3 linked regions of the Tamandua tetradactyla genome follow. The protein of the gene in region 2 binds, or shares a complex with, the protein of the main gene of each other region. Links are inferred from orthologs where the notes say so. Each region holds a gene or a part of one and is shown on either strand. Other genes may lie near its edges.

What was found.
Region 1: the proteins of BAK1 (region 2) and BNIP5 are in contact, whole or in part, in a crystal structure (PDB 8IGC), measured with the Homo sapiens proteins. The link is inferred for Tamandua tetradactyla from reciprocal best matches to the Homo sapiens genes BAK1 and BNIP5. Residues at the interface, in NP_001179.1 of Homo sapiens: Leu78, Ile81, Gly82, Ile85, Tyr89, Glu92, Phe93, Met96, His99, Leu100, Tyr110, Lys113, Ile114, Ser117, Leu118, Ser121, Asn124, Trp125, Gly126, Arg127, Val129, Ala130, Phe134, Ala180, Leu183; in NP_001010903.3 of Homo sapiens: Ile246, Ile247, Gln248, Met249, Ile250, Val251, Leu253, Leu254, Lys255, Arg256, Val257, Gly258, Asp259, Gln260, Trp261, Glu262, Glu264, Gln265, Ser266.
Region 3: the proteins of BAK1 (region 2) and PXT1 are in contact, whole or in part, in a crystal structure (PDB 8GSV), measured with the Homo sapiens proteins. The link is inferred for Tamandua tetradactyla from reciprocal best matches to the Homo sapiens genes BAK1 and PXT1. Residues at the interface, in NP_001179.1 of Homo sapiens: Ile81, Gly82, Asp84, Ile85, Asn86, Arg88, Tyr89, Glu92, Phe93, Met96, Leu97, His99, Leu100, Tyr110, Lys113, Ile114, Ser117, Leu118, Glu120, Ser121, Asn124, Trp125, Gly126, Arg127, Val129, Ala130, Phe134, Asn182; in NP_694535.2 of Homo sapiens: Ile78, Ile79, His80, Lys81, Leu82, Ala83, Met84, Gln85, Leu86, Arg87, His88, Ile89, Gly90, Asp91, Asn92, Ile93, Asp94, Arg96, Met97.

Annotation. Positions count from the first base shown.
Region 1 is NC_135331.1:93,114,556-93,122,433, reverse strand, and holds the start of BNIP5 (protein BNIP5), read left to right. Parts: upstream 1-4,877; 5' UTR 4,878-5,172; intron 5,173-7,878.
Region 2 is NC_135331.1:89,593,610-89,600,616, reverse strand, and holds the start of BAK1 (bcl-2 homologous antagonist/killer), read left to right. Parts: upstream 1-3,996; 5' UTR 3,997-4,250; intron 4,251-6,231; 5' UTR 6,232-6,262; coding exon 6,263-6,332; intron 6,333-7,007. Other genes in the region: gametogenetin-binding protein 1-like, read right to left, coding at 33-157, 1,063-1,213, 1,434-1,543, 1,971-2,089, 2,598-3,085. UniProt on the Homo sapiens protein: Plays a role in the mitochondrial apoptotic process. Upon arrival of cell death signals, promotes mitochondrial outer membrane (MOM) permeabilization by oligomerizing to form pores within the MOM.
Region 3 is NC_135331.1:93,205,858-93,213,081, forward strand, and holds the start of PXT1 (peroxisomal testis-specific protein 1), read right to left. Parts: upstream 3,002-7,224; 5' UTR 2,999-3,001; coding exon 2,836-2,998; intron 1-2,835.

The DNA of each region.
Region 1 (7,878 bases), about 3.5 Mb from region 2:
TTATAACAGAGAATTATCCAGCCCAAAATGTCAACAGTGCCAAGGTTGAGAAACTTTGGCTTAAGTCATTGTTGACAAGGTGCTGGCAAAGTTTTCTTTACTAATACATGGAGTGTGAGAGCTTGGCTGGAGCCACGGGAGGGTGAGTGGACCAGTATCCACTTTAGGGCGCAGGAGAGAGGAGTGAGGGGAACCATTCCAGCTGATTTCATTCATAGCACACTGTTAGGCTTGGAGCAAGTTCCGTGAAAGAGCTGCAGACTCCAGCACTATAGGCAAGACCTCAATGTGGGCTCCTCTTGAGCTAATGCTGCCACTTCCCATGCTGGGAGCCCGTTCGGATCGCATTATTTGAAGTCTCTTGGCAGGCTTGCAGGGTTGATATCATTTGTTCCCATTTTACAGTTGTGAAAGCTGAGGTTCAGAAGAACAGAGGTGTGCTGTGCTTTGGAGACTGACTAACAGATTTTAATCTACTGCTTGCTAGCAGGGCCACTTTTTGAGCATCAGTTTCCTAATCTGTAAAATAATGTATACTTTATAAATGTTATCGTGAGGGTAAAAAATAAGTAACGTTTGCAAAGGCCTTTAGTATAGGGCCTGGCACATAGTAAATTTATCACAGGTGGTTGTTGCTACTGGAATTACTCACGATATTATTACTGAGTTTAACTGGCCCAGAGTCACCCACTTGGGAGTTGAGGTGCTGCGGGAGCAGGTCCCCCTGAGTCACCCCAGAACAATTGAGGAAGGGGGGATACTGGGAGACACTGAAGAGACAGGAAAAGTCCCCGAGCAAGTGAGACTGCATGGGAATTGAGATTTCCTGAGCACTTTCATTGTAAGACATAACTTCTGTCATCTTATATACCAACCGAAAGAATATTCTGTAATTTCCTTCTTGCCGGGGGCTGGTGTGGAGGTGGGGGTGGGGTGTCAGGGGACCTCGGTCCTCGGTACTGACCTGGCTGGGGAAGGGGTAAAGCCTCTGCCTTTTGGGTGCTTCTCGCCGAGGAAGGAAAGAAGACACAGACAGGGTGGGGGCTGGACTTTGGATTGGGACCTGGCCCTGGATTCCAGGTAGAGGGTCTGGACCTGGAAAGGAGGGTGTGTTCTCACACTCGCGGGTGCCCTTTGCTCCTGAAAGTCATCAAGAGCTGGCATAATTATTTCCATCATGTAAATTCTCTTGCTATGATTTCTGGGAAGCTGAGTTTCAAACTCAGAAAGGTTGTGAAAATTCTTCCCTTAAATATGTTACTGAGAACAGCTCCACCAATCACTCCTGAGGCTGAAGCACTCTACCCTGCTCTAAATGTGGTGCCCCCTTTTCATCCCAGACCCTGCTTATCTTTTGTGTCTCCGTGTGGCTTACCCAGTCCACACAAGAGAGTGAATAAATAAACATACAACCTCTCTGGGGGAAAAAAATTCTCTGTTTTGTGAATGCAACATTTTTCCGTTTCACGGTCACCGCCGGACATTTGAGTAGTTTCAAGTTTTTGGCTATCACAAATAGCGCTGCTCTGAACACTCTCATAAAAGGTGCTGCTTTGTTTTTCTTGGAGGGGCACGTGTGTATGTATTTCTGCTCTGCATATATTTAGGAGTGGAACTGCTGAGTCATAGGGGCTGTCTGCTCAGCTTTGGCAGATGCTGCCACGCAGTGTCCCAAAGCGCCTGTATCATTCTCTGCTCCCACCGGTGGCGTGTGAGGATTCTGCAGCCCCACGGCATTGGCAGTCAGAGAACGTGGAGCGGCAGCTACAGGCCCAGGATGGCTGAATCTCACAAGCACGAGGCAGAGCGAAGAAAGCCAGACCTAAAAGAAGAGGTGCAGCCTGGCTCCTCTTTATATAAAGCTCAGAACCTGGCGAACTGAATCTAAGCGGCTACAAGTCAGGGTGGTGGTGCCCACAGGGACACTGCCTGGAAAGGGGCATGGGGACTGGGTGGGGGGTTCCTCTGGGGCTCTGGGAATGTCGATTCCTACTCTGGGTGCTGGTGACACAGGTTTATTCCCCTTTGACAATTCCTCGAGCTGCATACTTAGGAGTTTTGCCCTTTTCTGTATGTTCCACTGGAAAAATCATTTCAAAAAGGATCTTCAATCTCCCTCTCTCCTCCCTCTGCTGTGTTTTCTCACAGCGTTTGGTTGGGAATGTCCATCCGGGCCCCTACTGTGGCCGCTTCACCAGACCCCCCTCTGTGTCTCTCCTTGAAATTCGTCGTAGTTTTCAAACAAAAGGCCCTGCATCTTCACTGTGCATGGGGCACCCTATATTATAAGCCCTTCCTGGTGAGGGACCTTCTTAATAGGGACATGATGACTGCTCCTCTTGCAAGAACTAGGGGTGAATATTCCTACAAGTGATGTGGGATCACAGGTGCCTACATGATGCCTTTTGAGCTGGATTCATGATTTTCTCTTTGTGTGTCTGTTTCCCCACCTCCACTATAAACTCCAAGAGGGCTGGGCCAGGCTAACTCACCTCTGAACAAGAAAGAGCACATACAGTGTGCATGAGGCTTGAAGGAAGGGTTTAACTAATACTGTTTGTTGTTTAGCCTCTTGTTTGAAGCCTCCATCACCTCTTAGGTGAATGAATTCTCTGTACTCAGTGCCGAGGCTGCTGGCACACAGTTGCATCCCAAACTTGTTTGTTGACAGAATGACTGAAACACTAACAACTCTCCTACCAAGAATAAGGTATTGGCCCTTTATTGGCAATTTACTAGGTGCCAGGCACTGTGCTAATATGTAGAAATGTGACTGTTACATAGAAGGCATGCCGTACATTTTCTTCTTTTGGTTTTCTATTGTCTCTTTTCTTGCAAGCATGAGGACATTTGGCCCTCGCAATCACCCTGGTTTTCTAGGTGAGGAAACAGGCCCAGAGATGTGTGTCTGTTGCCCAGGGCCACACAGCTGGCAGATGGTTCCAGGTCTGAGTGAGGCCAAAACTTGGTGCTTCCAGTCTTTTCTTTTTATTATTACATATTAATTAAAATTTTTTCATATTATCAAATCAAAACAACATATAACGAACATTCCTAACATACAAACGTTCTGTGCATGGTGTTCAATTAATGGCTTACAATATTATCACATAGTGGTATATTCATCACCATGATCATTTTTGAGAACATTTGCATCACTCCAGAAAAAGAAGTAAAAAGAAAAGAGAAACAACTCGTACATCCCATGTCCTTTCATTGTTCACTAGTATTTCCATCTACTCAATATATTTTAAACTCTGTTTCCCCTTTTTTCTTTCTATACCCCTTACCATTACCTTTCATTGTTCACTAGTATTTCAATCCATTCAATTTATTTTGACATTTGTTCCCCCTATTATTTATTTATTTTTAATCCATATTTTTTACTTATCTGTCCATACCATAGATAAAAGGAGCATCAGACACAAGGTTTTCACAGTCACACAATCACACTGCGAAAGCTATATCATTATACAATCGTTTTCAAGAAACATGGCTACTGGAACACAGCTCCACAGTTTCAGACAGTTCCCTCCAGCCTCTCTAATACACCTTAAACTAAAAAGGGAATATCTATAAAATGCATAAGAATGACCTCCAGGATAACCTCTTGACTCTGTTTGAAATCTCTCAGACACTGATACTTTATTTTGTTTCAGTTTTCTTTTTCCCCTTTCAGTTGAGTCAGTTTTCTCAATCCCTTGATGTTGAGTCCCAGCTTTTTCTAGGATTTCTGTCCCATGTTGCCAGGAAGGTCCACACCCCTGGGAGTCATGTCCCACGTAGAGGGGGAGGGCAGTGAGTTTGCTTGTCATATTGGCTAAGAGAGAGAGGCCACATCTGAGCAACAAAAGAGGTTCTCTGGGGATGACTCTTAGGCCTGATTTTAAGTAGGCGTAGCCTATTCTTTGCAGAGATAAGTTTCATATGAACAACCCCCAAGATTGAAGGCTCAGCCTATTGATTTGGTTGCCCCACTGCTTCTGAGAATATCAGGAATTCTCCAAATGGGGAAGTTGAATTTTCCCCTTTTCTCACTCTTCCCCCAAGGAGACTTTGCAAATACTTTTTTATTCATTGTTCAAATCAATCATCTATCTTTCTTTCTGGTTTCATTTGTGTCACCAACCTTTCTCCCTTTATCATTCTCACATTCAGGTACTTCCAGTCTTGACTTTTTATTGTCTCCCAGGTCAATGAACCAAAATAGGATTTCAAACATGTTTTGCTTTTGTTTAAATAAAGCTAGCTTTTAAATTTTCTGATTATAAACACATGATATCTAGCTATATATACATATATATATATATGTATATATATATATATGTATATATATATATATATATATATATATATATATATATATATATATATATATATATATAATAATCCAGACTCTATAGTAAATGAAAATCTGACTTGTAAGACTTCTTAGAATGTTCTCTAAAGAGTCATGGCAAGCCTGGCCAGAAATAACAAGATTGGAAAACACAGTCCTTATCAGCTCTTACTTCTGAGTCTTTAGTCTCTAGGTCAAGGAATAAACATGCTCCCCAGTCACCTCTCTTTCTCAATCCTTCCTTCCCTGCTGACCTTTCACGACAACCAAGTGAAGGTGGCGGAGGTGATAAAGCTACACAGAAGCAAACCTCCTCCTTCTCCCCACCCCTCGCCTGCGTTTCCCATAAACGCTTGTTTATAATTCCATGGACTGGTCTTCCCCAAGCCAGGCCTAAGGTTGTTTGCTCAGAGGTTGGTTTCTTCTTGGGGTTTGGGTGCAATAAGGAAGTTGTCAAGTGAAACTGTTTTTTTTCCAGGGTGGCTGAGCTAAGCCTCCTATCACCGGAGGAGAAGGAAGGGGCAAGGACCAGGTCACAGCAGGTGGAGGAGGGTGGGCTGGCCCATGGTGCTTTGGATTGGCTGCCCGTGAGTGAGCTCAGCTCCTGGGTGAGACGATTTATATGACTGAAAGCATCTTCTGAGACACTCTGAAAACTGGCAGCAGCAATAGCAGCATCTTCTCCCTGGGAGAGCTGGGCCTGACCCTTTATCAGACACCCCTTCCAGCCAACAGGGAGAGTGCTGAGTCACCGAGGGGTGCCCGACGCAGAGCAGGCCAGGGGAATCTCAGCCGACCGTGTCCTGGGACAGGAGCAACTTCTGTGGTCCGAGGTTGGTTGAACAATACCCTCATCTTTGGAGGTTGGAGCATTTGGGTAGATATCTTGGCATACCGAAAAGAGGGTAGACCCTGGAGACAGACTCTGAGTCCAGCCCCAGTTCTGCCGCTGGTTTATTGGGCCCTCTATGGCCCTCGGTTTCCTCTTCTCTGAAAAGATGGAGCAGGGTTCAATGAAGAGATCTCAACCGGATGTCACCTGAGAGCTCTGAACTCACCTGGAGTGCGGTGTGCTAGCCAAGCAGCCCTGAGCAAGAAACTTAATTTCCTGAGCCTCCCGTTCCTAGTCTGCAGAATGCGGGTCCGTTACATGTCTGTCCCTCTGGTTTCCTTGTAGGATGTTGTAGAGGTGGAGTCAGAGTGTGTGTCAAGGGAAGACTTACATAAACAGGAGGTGTTATTGCCTAGTTCTGTGCTCTTAAGATTCTCGGCAGTTAGTCTAAAGAGAAGGGGCTCTTATGAAAAGAACTGGTGGCTTGATTCTCTGCTAGGAGATTTTTTTGGGGGGTGGGGGGTGGATTTTAACTCACCATTTCCATCCCGCGCCCCAGGCAGCAGTTGCCTTGTGGTCTTGGATAGAAGACAAGATGGGAGTGGATGTGGAGAGAGGTAGGGGTGGGGGCGCTTCCTGAGCACACTCTAGGAGTGGGGTGGAGGGAGCGGAGATACTTTTCGGAGTTCTCCAGCTTTTTGAACGACGTCTGCACTGCTCCCTACCCGAATCTGCCCCGCTAATCTGTCACAGTTTCCCAAGTTCATGGCTGTGACTTTCCACCCTGGGGACTCTGGGTGTGAGATGGTTGTGGGCCGGCGGTGCCAATGAGAAGTAGATTGGGAGCTCCTGGTGCGGCCCTGGCCCTCTGGCCCACCCACAGCGGGTAGGTTTCCTGCCCAGTGGTCTGTGAACCCCGCCCCATGCTCACAATCTTTGGTTCTGGGCCACTGATGTCTGTATCTGGACACACGTGGACACCTGACTCTACGTGTACCAGCCCCGGTGAGGGTGTGTATCGATAAGGTTATTTCTGTCGGGATGAAATAGCAATCATGCTCATGGGTAAGTCCCTGTGTGTGTATATGAGTGACTGTATTTATGGGAGGCTGCTGGGTATTGGAGGGAGAAAACAGGATTAAGAATCAGGAGAAGTGGACTCAAGTCCCAGGTTTCCACTTCTTGGTGGTATGGCCTTGGGCATGTCTCTTAATTGCTCAGAGCCTCAATTCCCTATTTGCTAGCTCCTTGGATTCCCAGGGCCGTGACAGAGGTTAAATGAGACAATGCAGATAAAAGCTTTCTCTGGATATTGCATGGGGCAGCACAGAGTTGATCTGACTTCACGTCTGTCTGCATACCTGTGCGTGCTTCATGTGCGTGTAAACATGGACATGGCGCTGAGCCATGCAGGCTGGGTCCTCCTTCCTGCGAGTTAGAATTCGACAGGGAGGCAGAGGGCAAATAGCTCCATAGATAATTTTCCTCTTACAATTGGGACCATACAAATACAATTTAAATGGCATGTTATGAGTCCGTGTTGGTTTATATGGGGTGCATGCATGTTTTGTGGGTACACTTCCACTACGGATGTGCAACAGGTCGGTTATTTCTTAAATACCTTTTGGGTGTCGCCTACAGAGGTGGGGCAGGGAACGGTGTGAGAGAGCAGTTCCAGAGCAGAGGGGCTGGATAAGGAAAATAGAGATGCGTATATAGATGATGTCAGTGTACAGTTTAAAGAATAACCAAAAAAAAAAAAAAGCAGCATATTGGGGATAAAAATAACCAAACTTCCTGCTCCACAGTAGTTCAAGGTCAGTTTTGTGTGCTTTCTTTGGGTTGTTTGTCGTTTTCATACACCTCACGGGAACACGTCATGTCTTATCAGAACTCATCTGCTCTGCAGACCGGTTGGATATTTCTGAGTTGATTTGGACTTTGCTCTGAAGTTCACTCTCTACCAAGGCAATAAACAAGTTTACTAGAACAGCTGGGTTTCCCTGCACTGATGATCTACCGCTGTCACAGGATCACTGGTCTGAAAGCATGTTCTGGACAGGGCAGGATTTCCTGACAGTCAGGTCAGCGCAGCTTAGCCCACAGACAGAGCAGGGGCACAAAATGAGTAAAAAGAGGAGAGAAAAAAGAAAGTTCTGTCTTGATGAATTCTGGATAAGCAGAATCTTGACAGCCAGAAAATCTAGAAAGACTTAGTTTGGGTATATATAGAAATTGGGGAGGGGCTGATGTGAAAGCATAATCTTCTCCGGGCTCAGGGACTTTAAAAAGCTGAGGACAAAGAGGGTCCTTCACAGGGCAGGTGGGTTTGCCTTCCCGGGCCAACCACAACTCCTCAGAGGAGGGGCGGTCAGAGACGTAGGAGGAAAACTGAGCTGAGTTTGGTCTCAATCACCAACAGAGGAAAAAATCGCAAGAAGCAAGTGGACATAGTAGCAAATGCTGCAGCACCTTTTAGTGGGATGGGGGATGAGAAGAGGTCACTGGATTTGGAATTAGACCTCGGGGGAGTCTGGGATTCTCTCTGCACTGGGGAAGCACCCCTGTGATAGCTGAGGCTCCAACTCACCCATCTTGTCCTCTCCCTGCCTCCAGGGCTGCAGCAGCTGCTGGGTTTGGTTACCCTCCCTAACTTCTCTCATCCCCCTCTGGGCTCAGGGCACTCGTTGCTCTAGGGAGGAGGGGA
Region 2 (7,007 bases):
GTCCTTGGGCAGGGGACAGTGGGCTGGCTTACCTGGCCATCTACGTTGCCCGCCTCCTTAAACCTGTTCAGCCCTAGAATGTCCTGGCTGCTTGCCTTCCAGAGGTGGGATTCCCGTTGTACTGCCAGAAACTTCTCCAGCTCCGACTCCATGAAACCTAAGAGCCAGATAGATGGGTGTGGGACAGGTAGGAGTAGGATGGAGCAAACTGCTGGGAATCCAAGAAAGAGGAGATAGCCTCTGCACTCCCAACCTCATCCCAGACTGGAATGATCCCTGCTCACTCCCCGTCGTAGCCCTTTCTTTTTCCATGACCTGGAGCCAGCCCGGACTTCCCCAGGAAATTCACTTGCCAAGGGCTCCCACCTGCAGAGTATATGGGTTTCAAAGAAGACACACATCTAGCCACCAAATCAGGAGCATTGATCTGGAATCCTAACTGGCCGGGTGCTAGTCCCAGCTCAGTCATTTACTAGCTGTGTGACCGTGGACAAGTTAGTTAACCTCCTGTGCCTCTGTTTCCTTGTTGTGGAGTGGAGATTGCTAATAGGCCCTATCTCACGGAGTTATGATGTGGTATTAGGTGAGAAGTGCTTGGAATGGAGTCTGTCATAGTAACAGCTATGTAAATATTAACCAATTTTATCATGGCACGTTCTCACCACTGAACCAGCTGCCCCCCATGTCTGGGACTGCATGGGGGCGACACTGGGAGAAGGGCCCTCTAGGGTGCTGTCACAGCAATGCATGATGGGAAAACAGAAGTGGCTACCAAATGAGTTAGAAGTCTTAGGCTGAGAAAAAGTTGGTGCTTGAGGAGCTCCAGGCCAAATCGCAATCCCCAAACCCTGAAAGGGAGGAGGAGGACCCCTTTCTTGGTTAAACAGCATGGCCTCCAACACAACTCCATGCTATGTGTGCCCCCCTAACCCCTCACCAACCCACCACGTCTCAGGTGGTCATCTTAGGGCCTCTGGTACCACCTGGTGGTCAGAGCTGGTACTACCTCCCCAGGCCTGGCAGTAGGTGGGGAGGGGAGAGGAAGGAGGGTCCTGCACTTACCGGCTGTATCTGTTGACCTCAAAGTCTTATACAGTGGTGACTGGAAGGTGGCGGCAGTGCCTGGGACACAGAGGTTGAAATAGTTATCTTCTTCCTCCATTTCCTTCTCCTGTTTCTCTTCCTCATGAGGCAAGCCTTCCTTGAAAGGAAACTGAGCCAGGCCAGAGCAGATGAGGGGGCTGGGACTCCAAGTTTGCAGCCCTATGTCTCCCAGATAAAACAGCAAGCAGAAGGCAACGGCTTCCAAAGGGTTAAGAAAGAGGACTGCTGCCCCTGGGCCCCATACCCTGGGACCAGCCAGATGTGGGGGTAGGAAGGGCCCCTCCCAGGCCTCATCCCCTCCCCCCCCAACCCCCGCCCCACTACCCCACCTTAGTCCCAAAGACCTTGGCCATGGCCGATTTCTGGAGCTGCTTGTACAAACTGAGGAGGCGGCTCCAGGGAGTTGTCCCCATTTTTGAGGAGGCTAATCTGAGGTCTCCTGTGAAGGGGTGTTGGTCACTGCCAGGCTGGGGGTGGTGGTGCCCAGGCCCGGGGGTCAGGAACAGGGGAAGTCTGAGCTGGGGGGAGGGTTTTCTTCCTTTAGCAAACACCTATGTGTCAGACACTTTACAAATACTATCTCATTTCATCCTTGCAACTACCCCCTTTCCCCCCACCCCCGCAGAGAGGTAGTAGTATATTCCCATTTTATGGGATGAGAAATCAGAGACACAGAGAAGTTAAGCAACTTTGCCACTGTCACACAACTTGGTGTGGTAGAGGTGGGATTCAAACCCACACAGCCTGGCTCTAGAGTTCCCTCAGACTGTGTCCTGGGTCCTTCCTGGCCCCATACCTTGAGGAGCTCTAGAGGCACAGGGTCCATTTCTGACATCTCTCTGGCTCCCGGGGGTCACCACACTCACCATCAAGCAGACACTCCTTCTCCTCCTCTCCGGTGAGGGCCTTGAACTTGACCTCCAGGGCTCCCATTGCCCTCCGCAGGCATCCTTGTTCCACCTCGAGGGCCTGGGCAAAGTGGAGACTGATCCCAAAGCAGAGTCAGGTGGGGAGTGGGGCTGGTCCCAGAGATGTGGCAAGGGCCCTCGGTGTCCCCGCTGTGCGCTCCCTCAGGCCCTGCTCAGCGCTCTGGTTCTTTGTCATAGAGGGGCTGTCCCTCCTGGCAAGTGGGGAGTGAGGAGCAGAGGGAAAAGCCAGTCCCCTTCCTTACAGGGGATGGGCGTCAGGCCCAGAGGGGACTGGGAAACCAGGAGGGAGAGTGTGGGGAGAGAAGGCAGGGTAGATAGAGCAGGGCCTGGAACAGGAGGCTGGGGAAGACACCGGAGCCCCAGTCCAGCCTGGCACCTTCCCTGCCCAGGCCCTAGCCCCTGCCTTTTGTCTTCGGTCCCTAAACCCCCATCTCCCCATCCCTCCCCACCTAGGTGCTCTCTATTCATCCAAGGACTCCCCTTCCCCATCTCAGGCCATCCCAGGCCCCTTCCCCATCCGTTGCCACCCCCCCCACCCCCATACCCACAGCCCCAACCCCTCACCTGCCTGAGGCCCCTGTGTCTCCACAGGCCTCCCCCACTGCCTCCCCCTCCTCTTCTTCCTCCTCCTCCTTCTCAGACAGGTTGTCCAGCACCTCCTGGCTTCCTCTCAGCAGGCCTGACTTCCCTCTTCCACTCTGGGTCATGACAGGAAGGACCTCCAGAGGGGTGGCGGGCTGGGCCCCCACGCCCCCCACCTCTGCAGGCTGAGGCCCTGGCGGGTCCTGGGAACCCCTGGGCATGGCCACAGAAAGGGCGCAGGGCAGCATGGCAGGCCGGGCCATCGTCAGGGGCACTGCGTCCTGCTCCTGAGAGGGGCGCACACAGGCCCCCACCAGGACCCTGCCACAGCCCCTTGGGCCGCTCTTGCTCCCCACCAGGCTGCGGAAAAAGTGGAACAAGGAGGAGCGGCCCAAAACTCGGGATGGGGGCATCGGAGTTGGGGCCTCCATCCTGAGGGGACCGCGACTCAGAGGGAAGGGCTGCAGCATCCACACCAGGACCAACTGCCTAAGAACAGGAGGAGTTTTCAAATTAAAACCTCCGATTGGAAACTTCCAGGAGTTCTAGAAGGCGGAGGTCGGGCGGTGGGGGTGGGAGGGGGCTTCATGGGGCTTCATGGGAAGTGGGAGGGGCAGAGGAATTGGATGGGGGGTTTGATGAGGCAGGGGCAGGAGGCTTGGTGGGGGGGTGCTTGACAGGCAAATAGAGCAGAGGGTAAAGGCTTTGGGGAGGGAGTGTTAATGGGAGTCCTGGGGGACTGGACAGGGAGTGGACAGGGGGCGTGTGGGAGTGGACTAGACCTTCAGAATGGGGGAGGGGGCTGATGAGGATCACCTGGCCGGCCCTTCCCCGGCCATTTCCATCCCTGAGAACCATTCCCCTCGGCCAGACAGTATCTGCCCTCCTTTCCTCAGCGCCCTTAGCCTCCAGCTCACACGTGCCCAGGTGGGAGCACACACCTCATTATTTACCTGTCCTTCACCTTCATGGGTTCCAGCTCCAAGAACTACCAAGATGCCATTGCAAGTTGAATCTCAACTTATTCTTGCCATTCCGCATGGCACCCACAGCCCTCGTTGATTATAAACCCAGCTCAGTGACCTGGCAGAGTTCCTTAAACCTTCGCCGGAGCCTCGGTTTGCTCCTCTGTGAAATGGACAGAGTTGGCAGTGTCTACTTGCAGGGGGTGTTGAGATTATTCCACGAGACAAAGTGACCGCTAAAGGACATAGCACGCTGGGGACGCTTAAGAAAGCCATCGTGGCTTTCTCTAATAGACACGGATTGATGGAAGGGAGAAATGATCGAGGGCTGGGGGCCGGCGCCGGGAGAAGCCGCTCCGCCCCGCGGGCCGTGGGGTGGAGGGGGGAGCGCGGCCCGGGCATCCGGATCCGGCGGCCGCGGAGGCGCTGCCTCTAGAGGGAGCTGACTGGAGCTGGGCACAGCCCACACCTCTATGATTTCCCAGCCGCTCGCGCCCCTCCGGCCGGCGGTGACAAGCAGAGGCGACATCCCGATGCCGGGAGCTCACTGACGCCGGCTCCTGAAGCCCGGCCTCGGCACCCCTCTCCTGGGCGCGGCCGCTGCTCCTGGGGACCTCCGGCCTTGACCCTGCGATCCACCCCACCGCTTCTGGACCAGAGTCGGGGTTAGGTATGCTGGGCTGGTGGGGGTGGTAGAGGGGAGGGGGCGTCCTGCTCATCCTGCCAGCCTTTCCCCATCCCGGCCCCAGGCCCAGGGTGGGGAGGGGGAGAGCTTCAGGGCTTGTCCCAGCCACTCCGCTACCCCTTGCCTCTGGCTGGCCCCTCAGACGGTGTCTCCTCCTGCCCCTGCTATGGGTGCCTGAGAACTGGGTCCTGCAGCGGTCTGGGGATTGGGGGTGGGGATGGGGGGTGAAGTTCAGAGCCAAGGTCAAGGTCAAGGCGAAAACATCCACAGTGCTTCCTCCTGCCCTAGGAACCCTAGACTGGGTCTGGGGCCCTGGCCAGGCATCTCCCGTGGGAACATCCTGCCAGGGTCACTGGCCCAACTAAGCCAAGCAAATTGGACTGGGGGGATTCCCTTTACCAGGAAGTTGGGCCATTCGGAATGGGGACAGGGGGTGGTAGAGGCCGCTGGCCCTGGGGGCCCTCCTGGGGCTACACTTGCTCCCCAGCTGTAGGGAGAGCTAGGGGTATGCTCAGCATCCTCCATCCTTGCTGACTTGGGGGTGTGGGATTTCAGAGGCCCAGGGAGAGGGAAAGGCATCTTTTCCAGGAAGGAGCTGCGGGTGGGGGGTGGGGGGCGGTGCCAGGCAAAAGTCTGTCCTTCCTGGCCCAGGGGAAAGGAGAGTCTGCCTAAGACATGCCCTGAGGGTGGAGTGGAGGAGCTCTGAGTGATTCAGCCCCCTTCCCAGACAACTTTGGGGTACTTTTGAAAATAGCCCCAGGCCTAAAAGGGAGGAGGGTATGGGCACCCAGTTAGGGACGAGGGAGTAGCCCTGCTTGGCTCAGGGTGGGGTTGTACCCTCCCCAGGGACAGCAGGAGGGGCAGCTTTCACTACAGTGATCGAGGCAGCTTTGGGGAAAATGTGGCTCTGGAATGGGGTGCAAATTGAAAGTGAAACAGCACATATCCAGGAAATACTCTTTCTCTCGGGTTCACAGAGCAGATCCAGTGGAGCAGGGCAGCTGCCAGGGCAGGGTAATGAGGAAATGGGGCTGGGGACAGAGCAGGTATGTGGTGGGGAGCCCGTGGCACTAGTCAGTATAGGGAGCAATGAGGAAGACCCTGGCTCCCGAGGACTTCCTCAGCTCATCCGGAGGCAAGAGTGGGGAGGGGACCAGCAGGAAGTAGATGGGGAAAGTTGCCCTGGAGAGGATACCTTATGAGGTACACACACACACACACACACACACACACACACACACAGGAAAATCCATTTTAAATGAGTGTTGAGTTTATGGACTCATGGAGATTCAGGACACCAACCTGAGTTTTCCTGACTAGCTATGGGGCCTCAAGCACTGATCTGCCTGTGCCTCACTTTTCCTACCTATAAAATTGGTATGACGATGCTTACTTTGCTGGTTAATATGACTTTTCAATGCCCAGGGCCCAGGGGGTGCTCATAAGCGGTAGGGGTACAGTGTGGGGGTGCTCAGGAAATGTTTGTGGCTTACAGGCCTGAATTGGAAAAGCAGGTGTGCCGTGATGGGCCAAGGGGAAGTGGGGCCTTCAAGGACACTCCTTCATGGGTCATTGGCTAGGAGGTGACAAGCCTGTGGTCAGAGTGTGCCGGGCCCCTGAAACTAACCTCCCCCACCCAGGAGTGAGGAGAAACATGACCTCAGAGTCACACTGGGGTGCAGAAACCTGGGAGCAAATCTTGGCTGAACTCTTAGTGTGTCTTTGGCTGCCTCCCCTCTTGCACCCCCTAGGGTGTTGCCAGTGAAGTGTCCATCAATTTCTGATTCTGCCAACAGACTCTGCTGGGACCCAAGCTGGTGGCATAAGAGAAGTCTGGAGCTAGGACTCAGGGTCCTTCCCGGAGTCAGGCAGCCTTCCCTGCTGTGGGGCCCTGGGAACTATGCTGGGATTCCCAGTCATGACTTCCTGCTCATGCCCACATACTTTTTCTCACCCATCCCCACAGGCTGACACTATCCTCCACCCGGGTCTGAAAAATGGCATCTGGACAAGGCCCAGGTCCCCCCGACCAGGGATGCGAAGAGCCTAGCCCATCCTCCACTTCTGGTAAGGGCCCTCCTGCCCCCTCACCATCCCAGAACTACTGGAGCTACCTGAGCAGAAAAGGGCAGGCTCTCCTGCCTCAGTTTCCCCACCTTGGATCAAGGAGGAAAAATACCTCCCCACCCAGTGGAGGTGGCCTGTCAGGCTCAGAAGCCAGGTTGCAGTCAAGGTTAAGCCCAGTCCTTTGGATTCAGGTCACAGCTCTGTCACTGCTTCCCTATGTGACTTTTCTAGGCCTGAGGTCTTGGTTTCCAATCTGTTTCCCGTGTTCCCCAAAGACATGAGGGCTGGGTACCTGACACACACTAGACGGACGCGGGCCAGGGTGGGTCCAGGGGCTGGGAGAGCACATGGGAAGATGGGCACTGCGCCATCCCAGGGCGTAACCCTGACTCCACTCCAGCTCCCTCCAGGGACGGGATCCGGGATCAGGGCTTAAAGGAGGAGGAAAGAAGCCTTGCAGTGGGAGAAATAAGGAAGTAAATTGGCTTATCACTGAGTTAGGTCTGCTAAACAAGAGAATGCAATTGTTGTGACTTTGGGGGAGGAAGTAAGAGGGTTGTCCTTCTACCCTCTTCCAAGGAAGCCTAGAGCTCAGGGCCCACAACTAACCAGTCCAGGTAGCTCTCTGGACTTTGGGTTCAGATCCCAGCTCTATCACTATTTCCCTATGTGACT
Region 3 (7,224 bases), about 3.6 Mb from region 2:
GGTTATGAAGAAAAATATCTTTGTTCTTAGGAAATATGCTGGATTATTTAAAGTGAAGTCAGTACGTCTGCAATTTAATCTCAAATGGTTGAGCAAAGAAAAGTGTATGCGTGTGTAGAGATAAAAAGATATAATAAATGCGACAAAATGTTAAAAAGTAAAAAAAAACCTAGTGAATCCATGCGAAGGGAGCAACCATTGATTTGTTCTTACATTTCTTTAGATTTAATTTTTTAAAATAAATGTTGGGGGAAAAAATACCTCCTAAAAGTCCCTGGAAATTAAAGTTTTCTATTTACTTTCTACAAACTCTTTATAGTGATTTTCAAGCCCTTTAACGTCACTCCATCCCCCACAGGGCAACGATGGGCAGGACCACTTCTTGTTCTTACTCATCTCTGCTTTCCCTAGAGTTTCCCTTAAATTGCGTGTAAGGACGGTATCCCTGGACTTCCCACGACCCCACCCCCTCCACTTTTCTCAGAAAAGTGGCCTTAAATTCCCCACGTATTTGGAGAAATTACGTATTTTTCTCCAAAGGATTATGTTTCCGGGTATAGATTTCCCCACAGTAACGGAGATAAACCTTGGTTCCACCCAGTCCCTTTCTAGCCCTCAGGAACGGCTTGTGATTCCTATTTTCTGGCCTCAGCTCCAGACAGAAGCCACTGAGGGGAGAGGGGAACCTCCTCATGAATCGGCTTCCTCAGTAAGAATTTTACTACGGGCAGTACTTAGGGGTTTCTTTATTCTTTTCAAGGTTCCCTGCCACCGAGCTTTCTCGGGGATCTGAGCCACTACCCACTCCTCAGCCTGCTCTAGGCCGGAGGACCCCGCCCCGGCTCGCTCCAGCGCCTGGAAGAGCGCGCGCTCGGCGGGGCGGCGAAGGTCACGTGGGCCGGTTGTGGCCAATAGGGAGCGCGCACTACGCGGCCTGTGGGCCGAGCCGGGTCTCCCGCGGACAGGCCGGCGCGCGCTTTGCTCGCTGCGAGACTGGTGGGAGCTGGAGGCGGGGAAGCGGGCTCCTGAGATTACGCTGCCGTGGGCCTCGCGTTATCCGGCCTTTGGCGCTCTCGACGTCATGATGGCAACTCCGTGCCCCCCCCCTCACCTCGCCTCCTTCAGTCTGCACATCCCCAGTTCCTTCAGCGATATCTTAAAATATGAGGGGAGAAACGTGCGCTGCCTGAATATTAAGAAAACCGAGGTCTCCCGGGCCAGGGAAAGTATGTAAAGGAAACGAGAAGCTTGTGTCTGCAGCCATCTCTAATTGGGGAATCCTTGTTTCGACTTGACAGTCATTTAATACTAAAAACCAGCCGCAAGTAAGGTTTTATAAACAAAAATGAGATTTCTAGGCATAAAAACAAATATGTAGACTAAGTTGCTGCTTGTTACTAAGTCAAATCTACTGGTGTTAATTCTTTTCACCCTGCCTCTTTTTTTTCTTTTTCTTTTTTTTTTAAACTTTTTTATTAATTAAAAAAATTAACAAAACATTAAGATATCATTCCATTCTACATATACAATCAGTAATTCTTAATATCATCACAGAGTTGCATATTCATCATTTCTTAGAACACTTTGCATCGATTTAGAAAAAGAAATAAAAAGACAACAGAAAAAGAAATAAATGATAACAGAGAAAAAAAGATTATACATACCATACCCCTTACCCCTCGCTTTCATTTACCACTCTGCCTCTGTCTTTTAAATAAAAGTGTAATGAGAAAGCATTTTAAGTAAATGCCTCAAACACCCACAGGGCACCTGAGAAGGGACCCATCAGCTTCTTAAGGAAAATCAGTAGGTTTAGTGAGCATGAGAACATACTGGAAAGGGTTTACAATAAAGAGTAAATCCTAAAGTGGTGGGTGCACAGCTTTGCGAATATACTAAAACCCACTGAATTGTGCACTTTAAAAGGCTAAACTTTATGGTATGTGAATTACACTCAATTTTTTTTAATCCCGCAAAAAACCCAAGTTCTAGAAAGTGTTCATGGCTGACTGAATATCAGGCTTTGAGAAATAACTGTTGCTGACACCTGCACAGATAAAAATTCAAAACTTTAGTCAACTGAGTACTTTCCAGAAAACGGATGCCATTTGGAATTTCCACATTCTTGATGGCATGTAAATCTTTTAAAATTGGATAATTAGGGCGGGCCACGGTGGCTCAGCAGGTACGAGTGCTTGCCTGCCATGCCCGAGGAGCCGGGTTCGGTTCCTGCTGCCTGCCCATGTTAAAAAAAAAAAAAAAAATTGGATGATTAGTTTGAGATTAATAATTCCTTTCAAGTGTCTGGCATGTTTTAAATCTAACTAAAAGCCCAAGACCCCATAAAGCATTCCTAACGCTCTCCTTTAATGCTCTTCAAACATAATTTTCCAACATTCTGGGACATGTATTTATCACATACTTTTGCAAAACAAAATTTCAAGTTTATCTTCCCTTCATGTTCTTTCCTATATTGGAAAAATCAAGAAGGGACCTAATCTGAATTTTCTTTACCTTAACGATGCAAGCATTGTCAGGTTAAATTTAAAGACCAATTTTTGTGAAAAGATCATTTTGATTCTATTTTAGTTGTTTGTGGACAACCTTAATTTTCACATTGAAGATTCAGAGTTAACAGAATCTAAGGGATTTATTACCACGAAGCAAAGTCAGTTTTAGATTTTCACTTTAAGAATTTTAATGAATACATTTACCAGTGTCTTCTTACAGTTAATTTAAAAAAATTATTTAATGCCCAATTTTATGTTCTTGATACTAAGAAAAATACATGCTGAATAGAATATTTATCTTAGTTTAATGCAAACAATATCTTACCTGACATGGCTGAAACAGGCTGGGAGCTGACAAGTCTGGTCATGTATGCCTTCTGAAAACTGTATTTCACCCACAGTGATTTGCAACAATTTGTTACTTTAGGAGAGGGATTCAGGACTTCTTTAAGTTCATAAACAATGTCATCATGTTTTCTCATCTTCATTTTTTTTCCCTGTTGGAAAAAATATTTTTAAAACATTTCCTTCACTTTTAGGTATCTAGATGATATATTAGATGAATATTGATATTTTAACGATAGAGGCACTTTTAGTCTATATAAAAAGGATTATGAATTGGGATGAGAGATTGAATTAGGTAACCTCTAAGATCTTTTTCAATTTAGATACTACATCATCTTTCTATGTTGCTTGATCTTGAGATCTGGTACACCATCCCTCATCGTCATTTCCCAATAGTTATTCTTCATTTTTGCAATAGCCTCATTCCAAATCAGGAGACAAGTCTTAATTGCTATATAAAGAAAAAGGAGACAAATCAGTGTAGCCAATAGAAAAATGGATTAAAAACCTAGAGAAGTGAAAAAGAGTAAAGTATATATTCTTTTGTTCTTCTTCCTCATGTTTGTGTGTGTATGCTAATGTGTCCGTGTGTGTGAATTTGAGCCCAGAATGATTCTTGTAGTATTCTTTAATTCTCCATGTGCAGTCCATCTCTACGGATGCTAATGAAGGTTAGTCTCCCTGCTCCTTTTTTTTTTTTCCCCTCCTAGTATTGTAGCATCAATCTAATGCGATGGAGAATTGAACTAAGAGTTTCCTTGTCTACCTGGGCGCTTAATTCTCTTGACTCGAAGCTTGGTCATAGAGTTCAACTTTCCATTCTACCCTCTAACTCTAAGCAGTTACCGGAAAGGGAAGGAAAAGAGAAAAGGTCAGACCATAATGAGCAACCAAAGAAGGTAACAGAGGAGGCCTTTTGGAGTCTTTACATCAGTGCCATCCAACAGAAGGATAATATGAGCCACATATGTAACTTTGTTTTCTAGTGTTTACATTAAAAAAAAGAAGAAGAAACAGGGTGAAATTACTTTTATATAATCTCTTTTATTTAACCCAGTATAGCCCAAAATAAATCCAAATGTTACCCTTCATCATGCAATCATGAGGTATTTTACATTCCTATTAGTTTAAGTCTTCAAAATCTGGAATGTATTTTACACTTAAATCTCAATTCAGACTAGCCACATTTCAATTGTGCAGTAGTCTCTAGTGGCTACTGTATTGGACAGCTCAGCTTTAGAGAAAGTAGCCTAGGATTGAGGAGAAATGACTGAGAGAAAGGCAATAAGCAGCCATCTAAGCTATAAAAAACAAACAAAAAAACCCAGGAAAGATCATCAAGTAAAATTCTGACTCATCATTTTTCAAATGTACCACATTTTCCAGTATAGAAGGCTACTTCAATATTTTGATTGTGATTTGGCCCAGATTGAGGGGGAGGGAGCAGTGGGAGGAAGGTTTGCGGGTTCCTGGCATTTTGGGCAGCCTGACATTTTCACTATATTCATCAGGCAACCTTCTGACTTAATCTGATTTCTCCAATAAACTTTCTGTTGGGAAAAGGGATACTCTCCAACTAATACAGCCCTAATCTTGGCAGTTATATTCTTGCATATGAAACAATAAACTGACATCCTCTTAAGCTTGATTATTTGAATTATCCTCTAGAGCTATATGAACTGATAAAATCAAATCCTAATTCAGGCAAAGTTGATAAGGTCCAGCTGCCAGTGAGATCCTTATCTGAAAAAGCCAGCTGCTGCCTTACCCATCAGCTTGTAGTGGAAATGTCATTTTATATTAATTATTAGATCACATTGGTAGATAATTGAGAATAAAATGTCTAAAAATGGCCTTTTAAAATTAACAACCAAGAATTCTAGACTTGATTTCCTCAAAATTGGTTTTTATTATAGTATTATGTTCCCCAAACAATTCTGCAGGATATTAACAGGTATTTATCAAATAAAAAATCAATGCCAATGATATTTTCACCTAAAATTTATTTTTAAATATATGTAAGAAAAACACTATGCTCTTGTATGTAGGTTTTAATATTATTGAATAAGTACCTTTAGGAAATGGTGTGCCTACCTGAAAACCTCAGGAAATCCCAGGATTCAGAAAAGCATGATAATGGATTTACACATGGAAGCCTCGGCAACCACTGAGTTGATGTATGATGCCATTTAATAATCATTAGTCTATGATAGTATCTTGCTTATCGTTTCAATATATATTTTTGACATTTTTCACTTAATTTATTTTATCTACTTCATGGTTGTTTTGATAAGTTTAATATATAAGTGAATGAAGTTTCTATCATTTCTTGCAGCAACTAACTCATCATGGGTCCACAGTTTGCTGTCTCTGTGTGCTAGGCCTAAAAATAGTCTCCCAAAGATGTCTCCATCTTAATCCCCAAAACCTGTATACATATTACCCTACATGGGAAAGTAGATCTTGCAGATGTCATTAAATTAAGTAAAATGTGATGAGAAAATTATCTTGGATTTTCTGAGTGGGCCAAATTTAATCACATGGATCCTTATAAGAGAGAGGCAAGAGGGTCGGAGTCAGAGAAAGAGATGTGACTATGACAACAGAGATGAGAGTGATGTGAGAAAGAGACTATTAACCAAGGATTTCAGGTAGCTTCTAGAAACTTAAAAGGGCAAGGAAACAGGTTCTCTTCTAGAACTTCCAGAAGGAGCACAGCCCTGCTGACCCATTTGAGATTCTGACCTCCAGAACCACAGGATAATATATTTATGTAATTTTAAGCCACTAAATTTCTGGTAATTTGTCACAGCAGCAATAGAAAAGGAATAGAAAACAATTACACTATGTTAATCTGAGTTCATATTATATTTTGGTCAGTATGTCATAATTTAATGTTGATGGAAAAATAAATTTGGAGATACAGTTATAGATGGTAGTCCATACTATAAAATAGGTTTTTCTATAATAATAACTAGTAATCATAAAAACTAGAATTGCTGATTTGGGGAATAGTGAGAATGGGGGAAAATTCAACTTCCCCAAGTTGAATTCTTGATATTCTCACAAGCAGTGCAAACAACCAAAGCTATAGGCTGAACTCCCAGTCTTGGGGTTTGTTCATATGAAACTTAACCCTACAAAGGATACGTCAAGCCTACTTAAAATTAGGCCTAAGAGTCACCCCCAAGAGAACCTCTTTTGTTGCTCAGATGTGGCCTCTTTCTCCAGCCAGCACAACAAGCAAACTCACCACCCTCCCCCTGGCTATGTGGGCCATGACTCCAAGGGGTGTGGACCTTCCTGGCAACATGGGACAGAAATCCTAGAAGAATTTGAGACTCAGCATCAAGGGATTGAGAAAACCTTCTCGACCAAAAGGGGGATGCATGAAATGAGAAAAAGTGTCAATGGCTGAGAGATTCCAAACAGAGTCGAGAGGTTATCCTGGAGGTTATTCTTACGCATTAAGTAGATATCACCTTGTTAACCAAGATGTAATGGAGAGGCTGGAGGGAACTGCCTGAAAATGTAGAGCTGTGTTCCAGTAACCATGTTTCTTGAAGATGATTGTATAATGATTGTATAATGATTTCACAGAGTGACTGTGTGATTGTGAAAACCTTGTGTCTGATGCTCCTTTTATCTACCTTGTCAACAGACGAGTAGAACATATGGAATAGAAATAAACAATAGGGGAACAAATGTTAAAATAAATTTAGTTTGAAATGCTAGTGATCAATGAAAGGAAGAGGTAAGGGGATGGTATGTATAATTTTTTTTTCTGTTGTCTTTCTATTTCTTTTTCTGAGTAGATGCAAATGTTCCAAGAAATGATCATGATGATGAATATGCAACTATGTGATGATATTGTGAATTGCTGATTATATATATAGAACAGAATGATCAAAATACAAATGTTTGCATTTGTTTGGTGTTTTCTGGTATTAAAAAAAAAAAAAGAATGAATGGAACCAAAAAAAAAAAATGAAATTGCTGAACCCTAATTATTGGTGGTAAAAATGTAAATTAAGCTACAGATCTTTACAGAGAGAAAAAACTATTGATCTCCTACTGAATGCCAGGCACTGTGTTAGTAGCTGAACAAAACAGACAGTTCCTTCCTTCATGGAGCTAGCAGTCTACCAAGGAAAACAGGCATATACGTTTAGTTAGAATTGTGGTAAATGTTGTGAGAATATATCTTGGGGGAAGGAAAACAGGCATATATGTTTAATTAGAATCGTGGTAAATGCTGTGACAATATATCTTGGGGGATAGACTTAACCTGGTCTGGATGGTCAGGAAGGATTCATTTAGGAATGACATTCAAGCAAAGACCTAAAAGATAGGTTGGAATTGGCCAGAA